Cricetulus griseus: one gene and its partners. The protein of the gene in region 2 interacts with the protein of the main gene of each other region in a pairwise test. Links are inferred from orthologs where the notes say so. Each region holds a gene or a part of one and is shown on either strand. Other genes may lie near its edges.

Region 1 (4,250 bases), on a different chromosome or scaffold from region 2:
TTAGTTTGTTAATGTTAAAATGCAACCAATCCACAGGAAAAATGAGACTCCGTTGTTATTATACATCCGAGGGATAAAAGGCTGGAATTATCCTAACATTCCGAGGATGAAGAAGGGTGGAGGTGGGGGTGGGGAGAGGCTGACTTCTCAGTGGGCTCATTTTCAGATTATTATTATTGACAGGTCTCTCTAGGTAGGTCGCTGTGGCTGACCTGGAACTCACTATGTAAACTAGCCCACTTTGAATTCATAGAGATCTGCCTGCTGGAATCAAAGGTATTCACCACCACACCCAACTTTTATTATTTTTTAAAATAAGCACTTAAAATTTTTTGTTTAGCTGGGCTTCATGGCGCACCCTTTTAATCTCAGCATTTGGGAGGCAGAGGCTGGTGGCTCTCTAAGTTCGAGGCCAACCAGCGTGAGTTCCAGGATAGCCAGGGCTACACAGAGAAACCTGTCTCAAATTTTTTATTTTATTCTATGTGTATCTGTGTTTTTCTTGTATGCATACATGTGCACGGCAAGCGTGCCTGGTGCTTGTGGAGGCAAGAAAGCATGTCGGATACCCTGAAACGAGTTATAGATGTTTGTGTGCCCCCATGTAGGTGCTAGGATGGAACTGAAGTGATCCAGACAAGCAACCGGTGCTCTTAATTGCTGAGCCAAGCCATCTCTCCAGCTCCTTATTCTTTTTTAAACTTTTATTTTCTTTTTAATTAGGTGTATGTCTGTATGTGGATATGTGCATATGAGTGCAGGTGCCCTTGGAAGCCTGGGTATTGAATCCTTTTTGGAGATGGAGTTACAGGGAGTTTTGAGCTTCCCCGTGTGGGTGCTGGGAACCAAACTATGGTCCCCCTGCAAGAGCAGCAAGTACCTTTTACAGCAAAACGATGTTCCCACACAATTACTATGTGTATGTAATGTGTGGACGCCCACTCATGCCGAGGTCACAGTAAAACTTTATAGTCCGTTCTCTCCTTCTACCTTTATGTGGGGGACCAGCCTTCACTCTAGATCTTTTCCCACTCCCCTACTCCGTGCGCGCGCGGCTCGCAACCCTAGCCGCCTGGATTTGTATAGTGGGGCGTCCACGTGCCCCTGATTGACAGGGCTTCTTCTCCAGGATGCCCAAGAGTGTGAGAATGGAGGTTTGAAGGAGTGTGCTACTCGGCAGGATCCAGGTCTCTGGGTTAGCAGCTACTGCAAGACCGGGCGGGGTTTGGAGGGCGGGACCGCCCGGCGTCGAGTCTCCGCCCACACCGACAAGATGGGCGTGGCTTTTGGCGTCACGTGACCGCGCCCGAGCAGGGAGGCCCCGCCCGGCCCTCCGAGGAGGCCCGGCTGCGACCCGGGCCGCGCGCACTGAGGAGCTCCTCGGTTCTGCTCGCGGCTGCTTCTCCTAGTCCCGGCTTTCAGCTCAGTCGCTCCCGCCGGCTCCGGGCTCGCCGGCTGGCGGGGAGTGGCCTCAAGATGGACGAAGGCGGTGGCGGTGAGGGCGGCAGCGGTGAGTGATGGAGGTGTGGCCCTCTCTCTGGGCGGCCCTGAGGCCGGGGGGTCGCGCTGTGGAGAGCCCAGGCTTGAGGCGTGGGGCCGGGTGTGGGGTGGGGTGTCGGCGACCGTGGGGAGGTGCGCGGGGTGAGGCCGGGGCTTAGGCTTCGCAGCCCTGGTGAGAGGACATGTCGGAGACCGCGGGGTCGTCTCCCAGAACGGTCGCGGGTCGCGGGTTCGAGGCCGGGGTCTCCGCGGCGCAGCTCCAGGTGGCCTTTCCGAGATAGGCGCACATTTCAGGGCGACCTTTCCAGTGTCTCTTCGCCAAGGGCGTCCACGCCCTCCCGAGCACAGCTGTTTCGGACGGGCCCCGCTCCCTTTCAGCTCTCCTCAGGTGTCTGGAGCCAGGGAGCTTGTGGGAAATAATGGGGAGGGGAAAGTTTTCAATTTGGATGTCTCAGGGGTCCAGCGAGGGAGGGGTGGGGAGGTTGGAGATCACGACCGCATCTCTGGTTTTTAGATCTGAAGTGTTCGCTGCAAAAGGTTTAAACGACAAGAGGGACAGGCACCTCGAGTCCGGGTCTGAGCATACATTTTTATCAAATTGAAAAAAATATGCTACCGGGTAGTATAAAAATTTTAAGAGGGAGGATAAATAGCTCTGTAATAGGATCCATATCTGGCATGCCCAAGGCCCTGGGTTTGATCCCCAACGCTTCCAAAAGGAAAATATAATTAAGAAATTAAAGTGATCAGGTGGGATCCCTTTAAGGGTGGGACTCAGGAGCCGTGGCCAGAAGCATGACTCTGACTCCAGGACAGGTGCGTGGTGGCAGCCACCTTCCCAGAAGTGGGCTCTCAGTTCCCGGTGTTGCTCAAGCTGTTTGTGCCTTGAGTTCCATCCTGCTGCAAATGTGCTGCTGGTCGTAAACTACTCAGTGGAATACGAATTATTGTTGTGTCATCTTGTGAATTTGGTTTTCCAAAAACAGTAAGAGTCGCCGTATGTGGAGTGCATCGCTGATTGAAGGGTTAAGTACCCCTCACTTTTACCCCAACACCCCGACCCCAAGTTGAAGCTGTCTGGACTTTTTGCTGACAGAATGATCAGAATCCCGTGTAATAAGGGAGTGTTTAGGGAAAAAAAAGAGTCTTAATTACAGGCTGTTGGAGCAGCTGCCTGTAAGAATCAGCAGTATTGAAGTCTTCCCGGTGAAGTGGTTAATCAAGGTGCCTTCTAGAATTCCAGAGCTTCCCTGAAAGAGACGAGGTGGCTAGGCTGGTAGGAAGTTGGCACCCCTCGTGGCATTTGCCAAGTTCAATTCTCATAGTAAAAGCCAGGGGTAGCACAGTGGCAGTGAGTGGGTGTTTTGTTTATGAAAAGAAGAAACCCAGTTACAAACCCTCCTCCATACCGGCTGCTGGTCTGGAGACACTAGATCCCTGTGGGTGCCTTGTCTTTCGCCTATATCATCACACTTGGACATGGTATCTTAGAAAAGACAGTGGGCAATATTTAAACGTTTGACTTAGGAAACTAGCTGGTTTGGCGATTGCTTTGCAGGTGCTCCAGATTCCCTGAGTCAATAAATTCGAAAGATTTGAAGGGAAAAGCCACACAGAGGGAAAAAACTTAGAAGCCAATGTGTTTCAGCAGTTTGAGAATTACAATAATTCTAATAATTACAATAATATTATCAAAAGGGTTTAAAACTATCTCTGGGCTATTAATATCTCTTCTGGGACTATATCCCAGAGAAACAATCTTAAAATTAAAAAAAGATGTTACATTCAATGATACCTCATTCCATGGTAAAATGTGAAAAATCAAGGAACAGGTAAGATTACTTTGAAGAGACATTAAAAATAAGCAATTAAGGGGCCTGCTGTCAAGACAGCCTGACAGCCTTAATTCAGTCTCCAGGAGCCACATGGTGGAAGGAGAGAACCAACGCCCACAAGTTGTCTTCTGACCTCCATAGGCAAGCAGCAACAAGCTTGCACGAATACGGACAATTTAAAAAAGTTACCAAGAATATGTAGTTATTTTATACATTCTGGTCTAGACAGTGTAAACACTGGTAGCGGTCTGGATTTTTCTTTATATTTCCCAGGTTTCTTGAATAAAAATACATGCATTACTTTCAAATTTGAAAAAAAGAACCTCAGCTTATAAAAGATGTGGATATTTTAAATGTACAGTGTCATTTAATTCACCTTTTTGGAACATTTGACAATGAAGAGATTTAATTGATTTTTCTACTCAACTGCCAGACAGCATGCTAGGTGATAGAAAACAACTTTTAACTTTCATTGATTTTTTTTAATTACTTATCAAAATCTTTCCTCTTACAGTGTGGAAAGACACTTGCAGGTACTTTTGGCAATCCTAGAGTATTTAATTTTGAACCATTGAAAATCTTCCATAATTTTGAAATGTGAGTCATTATATACTTATTTATGAACTTGATGGATTTCTATATAACTCTTTACCTATGGAGGTTTGAAGTTAGCATATAGTTCCTTGTAGTAATCCCATTTCCATTTTCAAAAACTGCTTCACTTTAAAAAATTGTCTCTCTCTCTCTTTCTCTCTCTCTCTCTCTCTCTCTCTCTCTTTAAATCAGCCCTTTGATAAAGCTGTTTCAGTTACCAGGGAGTTACAAAGCATAGCATTATTTGGCATATCATCAGAGTATAGGAGAGACCTTTAATCTGCCCCTGGGAACTCTGTTTCAGCTTGCTTAGAAGATAAA
Region 2 (2,872 bases):
TTCATGAGTAGAAAAGCTAGCCTAAGGTTCAAGGTAAGAAAATTATGTATAACAAGCATTGAAATTTAAGAGTGGTGGAGCAGGAGGGGCAGCAGGAATAGAAGGAAGGCATTCAGAAAATGAATAATTATCAATACATGCTCCCGTAATTTTTCCCATGAGATTTCCTGAGCATTCCTCACATACTATAGTGCAGCACAACTTCAGTAAGTCATTAGTATGCCTATTTTTCTCAAGCAAAAATGATATGCTTCTAGAATATATGTATATATATATATATATATATTGAACAACACATAATAGAACACTGTCTTTCAAAACACTATAATTTGCACTTCTATAAATACATTTAAATAAGAAACATAGCTATTCACATCTCATACTATTTGACACATAAACATACAAAAATAAAACAATCCTAACTGTTTTGTTCGTCTAGGTTCTTTTCTAAGTTCAGAACAATTCAGAAATAACCTTAAGAATTTGGATCCCAAGTAAACTGGATATAAATTCATACTGGGTTAGGCACCACAGTCAAGGATGAACACAGTATGCCATCCCTTGCAGTGGGGATTACTATCTCCTACCACTATTCAGAGAAGCTGGGGTGGAGGACAAAGGTCTCCAACTGTCATGCATAGTCTGTCTCCTAGACATTGTGAGGCAGGGCCACCTTAATCAGATTCCCCACCCTAGGCAAAGCATGCACATAAGAAGATGTCCTCTGAGTGGAACAGAAAGCATGCCTTTTCCCTGGACTCCCCACTCTCTATCCCACTAGGGTAGACTCTTCAAATAAGTGCTCAACAAGTTGAAAAGGCACTGCTCTCTGTACCAAAGACAAGAAGAGCCTTGTGTTCCACAATTGCTAACACATGTTCAGCTCCAAAAACTACTGCGAGAGAAATGCTTCCACTTGAAATGTTTTATAGAGTTCTGCAGCCCACCAAAAGGGATTCTACATGTTTCTTTTGCAAAACGGAATGTTCCTATGAATTATTATCCCTGGTAAAAATCAGGCCTTCTGTCTGTGGTAGAATGTAATTCTCTTGAAAGCAAAGGAGGGGTTACCCCTTAGACATCTCACCTAGAGCCTAGCATTCCTTCCAGCTCCTAGTGGGAGCACAGAAGATAGGCCTGCTCAGATGAACTCCACAACTCCAATATTGATGAACACAACACACGGAAGCCGGGACTCCACTGCATCAGAACTGGCTTCTCCCTGGCTTTGTCCTTAGCAGGGAGGGATGATGCCTCAGGAACTGGGTTTGGACGGCACTGTCACAAGGAAGAGAGCAGTCCTGGTTTCTGCTCAAAGAGAATTCTCAACACAGTCAGAAGAGCTGGGGTTCTTGAGTTCCTGGGAGGCAACTTCAGGGTCCTGAGGTACCTGCTGCTGATGATAGATGTCCTGGATCAGCAGTGTGTTCATGACCTTCCACTCTCTGTACTTCCTGGCTGTCAGCTTAGGATCATCCAGCAGTTGGTTGATCATGGCCAGATCATGTTCTTTGCACTGGCCGAGAAGAAAACAGGAAGGAAGGGGCATCAGTGAGAACATGAGCATCTGAACTTTGGTGAGTCAACTTCCTCAGCCCTTTCACAGACTCACAGACCCATCCACCACAACACTACCGAAGTGGTTTTGCAAATTAATATTCTAATCTCTCAACATGCCTGAGGTCTGGCACAATATCTCTTCACATGTGGAAGCCACCAAGAAGCTGTATATATTCACTCCCCAGGTTAGTGAAAGAACCAGACAGTCTGTTTTCTGTGCTGGCCCCTTGACCCATCTATTACCCCACACAGTAGGGTGACTCCATGTTAGTGTGTGTCACTGGGTGCTGGCATGCCCTGAAGCTTAGTTAGTTGTACACACGGGTGCTTCTCTGACCATCCAAACTTCACTAAGTAAAACTGGAACATAGTACTTTACCTGAGGCATAAGGTAACAAAATATATCTTTTTAAATTTTGTAGATTTTTAAATGATTTTTACTGTCATATTCTATTAACACACATATTTATATATGAAAAGTATGGTTTCCCTTTTTATTCAAAGATGAGATACCTAACTTTCCACCAGAACAATGTGTGTGCCAGTATAAAATAGCCTATCAGTGCTGCTTCCTCGGCTTCACTAAAGTTATAAGAAAAGAAGGAAGCCTCAATTGATAACTTGTTTCCAGAAGATCAGACTTAGGCAAATTCTTAGGGCATTTTCTTAATTAGTGACTAATGTGGGAGGGTCTAGTCCATTGAGGGTGGAGCCACACCTGGGTTCTATAAGAAAACAGGCTGAGCAAGCCAGTAAGCAGTACCCCTCCATGGCCTCTGCATCAGCTCCTGCCTCCAGGTTCCTGCCCTGTTTGAGCTCCTGTCCTAACTTCCTTGGTGATGAACAGGGATGTGGAAGTGTAAGCCAAATAAACCCTTTCCTTCCCAAGTTGCTTTTGGTCATGGTGTTTTATCACAGCAATAGTCACCCCAACTAAGACAATCTGAGTTTGAACCAGCAGCACCCACATAAAAGGCCAGGATAGTTGCATGTGCCTGTAACCTCAGCATTGCTGTGGGGACAGAGACAGGTGAATCTGCAGGGCTCCTGGTACAGTCAACCTCTCAGAAAGGCCCCTTCTCATTCAATGAATGGACCTGCCTGAGAGTCAAAAAGTGGAAACTAATAGAGAAAGACATGTCACTTCTTCTGGCTTCCACATGTGCATGCATGAGTGACTCACATGCATGCACCACACACACACACACACACACACACACACACACACACACACACACACACACACAGGTAAATTAATTAACCAAGACTAAAAAAGATGACAAAATACATTTTCTCCCTCATTAAATTCTTG
Region 3 (3,651 bases), about 92 Mb from region 2:
CCCTCGCCTCCTCCCTAATGTACCCTTTGGACAAGGCCACACTAACCCTGGGCTCAGCGCTTGGGTGTTCACCAATTACTGAGATGATCACTACCATGATTGTTAGTGACCTTCAGATTCCTCGATCGTGCCTTGCTCAATCCGGCCTTTGCCTACATTCTTGTCTCCACCTGGGGGGGCTCCTCCCTGTTCTCACATTCCTGCTCCCTCTTCCCAAACCAGGTTAGAACCTACCTCCTCCTCCAGGCTGCCTGCCACCTAGACACACATGCACACTTGATCCCACTCTGCTAGGATTCTATTGAGCACACATGTGTCAGGCTCTTTCTCTGCCATTGCTGTGGTCACTTGCTGCATGGTTACTTTCTTAGCCCCAGAGCCACCCACCCATGATCCCAACATACCCAAACTCGAACTTTATGAAAACAGAGGCTGGGCCTTGCTCACCATTGGACCCCAGCCCCACAGCTAGAGCATATAAGTGCTCAGTCAGCACTGGTAAGGTGTCCCCATTATACATACCTATGGGTGAAAGCCCAGCCAAGATCCCTGGGAACAGGATCTGTATGACCTCGGAGCAAGGGATACTGTACCAGTTCTGATTTCCAGAAACACCCCAGGAGTACCACATCCCAGCACCCCTCATCTTGGGGAGAGGGTGGGTGCCTCTTGGGTCATTTGTTCTGTTCATCTGCTCCTGCAAGGGGTACCAGGATATCTTCCCCCGCCCCTAGCAGTAGGGCAAATGTGGGTGGTGGTCAAGCTGGGGATCTCCTTTGCACAGAGCAATCCCTGGGGTCAGGCTAAGGCAGGCTGGGGTGGAGTAGAGAGCAGCACAGGCCTGAAATTGGGACTGTAGACATGTGAATGCCTTGTCGGCCATGGCTGTTTCCTCTTCCCTCTGTTCCACTGAACTGCATAGCTTCTGGGAGGCCTGTGCTGCTCAGGTACCCTAGGATACCTGGCATGTGACAGGCACTTACTGAAAAGTGACAGAGAAGATGTGATGCCAGACAGGAGGTGTGGTCTGTTCCCTAGGTGGCCAGAGAGAGCCACAGGGGGATTCTGAATGGAGAGCAGTTCCCAAGTTGCCAGCCATGTCTAGTGAGGGCTTGGTGGACAGAGGGCAGTGGCTGACTGCATGGGAAGAGAGAGCAAGCTGGGAATAGGGTCAGGTGTGGGTATAGTGACTCCCACCCCTGAGGCGAGGGCGAGTGGAGGAACAAGGGTACACAGAGGCACTGAGCTCCTGCTCTGAGGGTAAAAGGGCATAGGAGGGAAAGGCTGTGAGAAGGCTGAGGGAAGGCACAGTGAGAGGCCCGAACCACAGGCAGAATGGGAGCTGTGGGGACATCCTGACCTCCAGGCCGACCCTTGTATGTGTGTCCACAGAAGCTAAAGGATGAAATTGCAGATGTGTTTGCCCAAATCGACTGCTTCGAGAGTACTGAGGAGAGGTGAGGAGCCCAGACAGTGGGAGGACCATCCCTGAGTACATCTCACTCCCCGTGTGCCATGGATGGGGGTAGGACCCAAGGAGATGCCACAGCTCCATTCAGACTGTCTGGACCACTCCCCACAAACTCTCAAGGGACCCTTATCCTCCCCCTCTCCATCCCACCTCCCCACACAACCGCCCCACATATTATTTATCAGGAACAGCTGGAAGCAGATGAGCAAAGAAATGTCCCCTGGGCAAGGGTGAAGAAACTCTGGTAAATGGGAACCAGAAGCCTGGCCTGGAGTAGGCCCCACTGGTCCACCTCATCCCACATCCATCATTGGTCACACAGGAAGGCTCCTGCTGGTTCTTTGTCCTAGGAAGGGGCCTTCTCTCTGGGCCTCAGTTTCCCCATTTGTATAAAAAGAAGGTCAGGTTTTCACATAATCTCCCAGATTACAACCTCTTGACACTGTAAAACTAACAAAATGACATTTCAGCTACAAACTGGAAAACAACCTCAATGTTTTCAGTAAGTTTACCTTTGAGTAGGTAGTGTTCATTGTTCTCTTGGGCCAAATGCAGCCATGTGTGCCCAGTAGGCTGGTCATGCCTGTCTGAACTCTAGGGCACTGAACTATAGAACTACACATGGTTACCTGCCCCACCTCCAAGACTTCTGCCTCTCCAGCATCTCATGCACACACACAGCCATGTATGCCCTGGGTGAGGGCAGCAGGCAGTTCTTGCACAGAAGGAAACAGAGGGATAAAGGGACTCACCTCTAGTGGCCTGGCCCAAGAGTATAGCAAGACTTAAGCTCAGGAGCAGCCTCTGGGGTGCATGTTCCTGCTGGCCCCATCATGCCCCAGCCTTCTGCATCCTCCCCAATGAGCTCTGCTGGGCTCCTGGGGGGCTCAGAGTTCAGTGCTCAGCTTGCAGCCCCGCCCCTCGACACCTCCCATCCTGTTCTTGCTCTCCCAGGTGGTCCAGACACAGGGGATACTCTTGGAGTTTCTCTCCTGAGGAAGGGCCCCTGAGGGATTATGGGGACAGTGGCATCTAGAGCCACCATTTTGATCTCCCCCTGTTCACAGCCGGATGGCACAGAAAGAGAAGGAGATGTGTATCGGGAGGAAGAAATTCAACATGGACCCTGCCAAGGTACACATCCAGGGGAGGGGACATGGATCCCACCAAAGTGGGCATCCGGGTGGCCACAGGAGGGTGATGTAGGCCTCACCAAGGTGCAAAGCTGAGCTAAGGGAGGAGGCTGCCTTCTGGGTACCTTTGCAGCTGATTCCACAAGCCAGCAGAGGTGAAAGCTGAGACCCCTCAGTGCCAAGCCTTTGGTCCCCAGCTGGGGCGAGCTTCTGTCCACTCCACAGCACTGCATCCCAAAGATGGGAGGCATGAAGTCCCCCCACTTGGACCCATTCCCTTTCTTCCCTGGCCCTAAGCCCTCCTCTGGAACAGGGTTAAGGCAGTGAGGCCCTTAGGTGGTGAACTCTGTCCCTAGCATGTCTTCCAAGTTCAGGCTGCAGAAACCATTTGAAGCTTGGTTGCCCATGACCTCAGAGTCAGCCTGCAGCCCTTCACTCTGCCAGGTGGCCATGGTTTCCCTCTCCAGTAGGGGCAGGCAACAAAAGGCATACACTGTACTAGGGCAAGGGTCCAGACAGACACAGCTGAGACTGCCTCAGCACATGGATTCCCTTGTCACAGCCACAGGCCCTGGACCACCGCTCCACTTACCTGGCCTCATACAAACGTACACCTATGTTCCCAGCTCTGGCCACAGGGTGCACAGCATCCCAGTCCTTCCATCTAAGAGCAGCAGGGACACAAGATGTCAGAACACCAGAGACCAGTCCATGACCTCCAAAATCTTAGGGGTGACTTTTTGTGCCTGGGCAGCAATGAGAGGGGCTCAGGAGCCTATCTGGCAAAGCTGGCTTCAAGGTGAAAGGAGGCTGGGCATGTCCTCCCATCTCCCACAGAAGGAGAGAGAAGGTCATTGCCATGGAAGCTGGCTACCTCCCAGGTGGGGTCTGTACAGTCTCCTCCTCTTTTGATTTAGCTGGTCTGTGTGACTTTTACACAATGGGCACAGATTGCTGGTGTGATGAAATGAAACTATTTGAAATAATAAGAGTTTGGAGAGAACAAAAGGAGATGCTGAATCACTGAGTCTTAGCACTGTGACTCCC

What was found.
Region 1: the proteins of Ipcef1 (region 2) and Cyth3 interact in binary tests that used the Homo sapiens proteins (3 or more experiments, as listed by UniProt). The link is inferred for Cricetulus griseus from reciprocal best matches to the Homo sapiens genes IPCEF1 and CYTH3.
Region 3: the proteins of Ipcef1 (region 2) and Cyth4 interact in binary tests that used the Homo sapiens proteins (3 or more experiments, as listed by UniProt). The link is inferred for Cricetulus griseus from reciprocal best matches to the Homo sapiens genes IPCEF1 and CYTH4.

What each region holds. Positions count from the first base shown.
Region 1 is NC_048597.1:80,124,231-80,128,480, forward strand, and holds the start of Cyth3 (cytohesin-3), read left to right. Parts: upstream 1-1,313; 5' UTR 1,314-1,476; coding exon 1,477-1,510; exon of another isoform or gene 1,511-1,523; intron 1,524-4,250. UniProt on the Homo sapiens protein: Promotes guanine-nucleotide exchange on ARF1 and ARF6. Promotes the activation of ARF factors through replacement of GDP with GTP. Plays a role in the epithelial polarization.
Region 2 is NC_048595.1:284,043,281-284,046,152, forward strand, and holds the end of Ipcef1 (interactor protein for cytohesin exchange factors 1), read right to left. Parts: intron 1,517-2,872; coding exon 1,313-1,516; 3' UTR 542-1,312; downstream 1-541. UniProt on the Homo sapiens protein: Enhances the promotion of guanine-nucleotide exchange by PSCD2 on ARF6 in a concentration-dependent manner.
Region 3 is NC_048595.1:375,704,819-375,708,469, forward strand, and holds part of Cyth4 (cytohesin-4), read left to right. Parts: intron 1-1,392; coding exon 1,393-1,457; intron 1,458-2,538; coding exon 2,539-2,605; intron 2,606-3,651. UniProt on the Homo sapiens protein: Promotes guanine-nucleotide exchange on ARF1 and ARF5. Promotes the activation of ARF factors through replacement of GDP with GTP.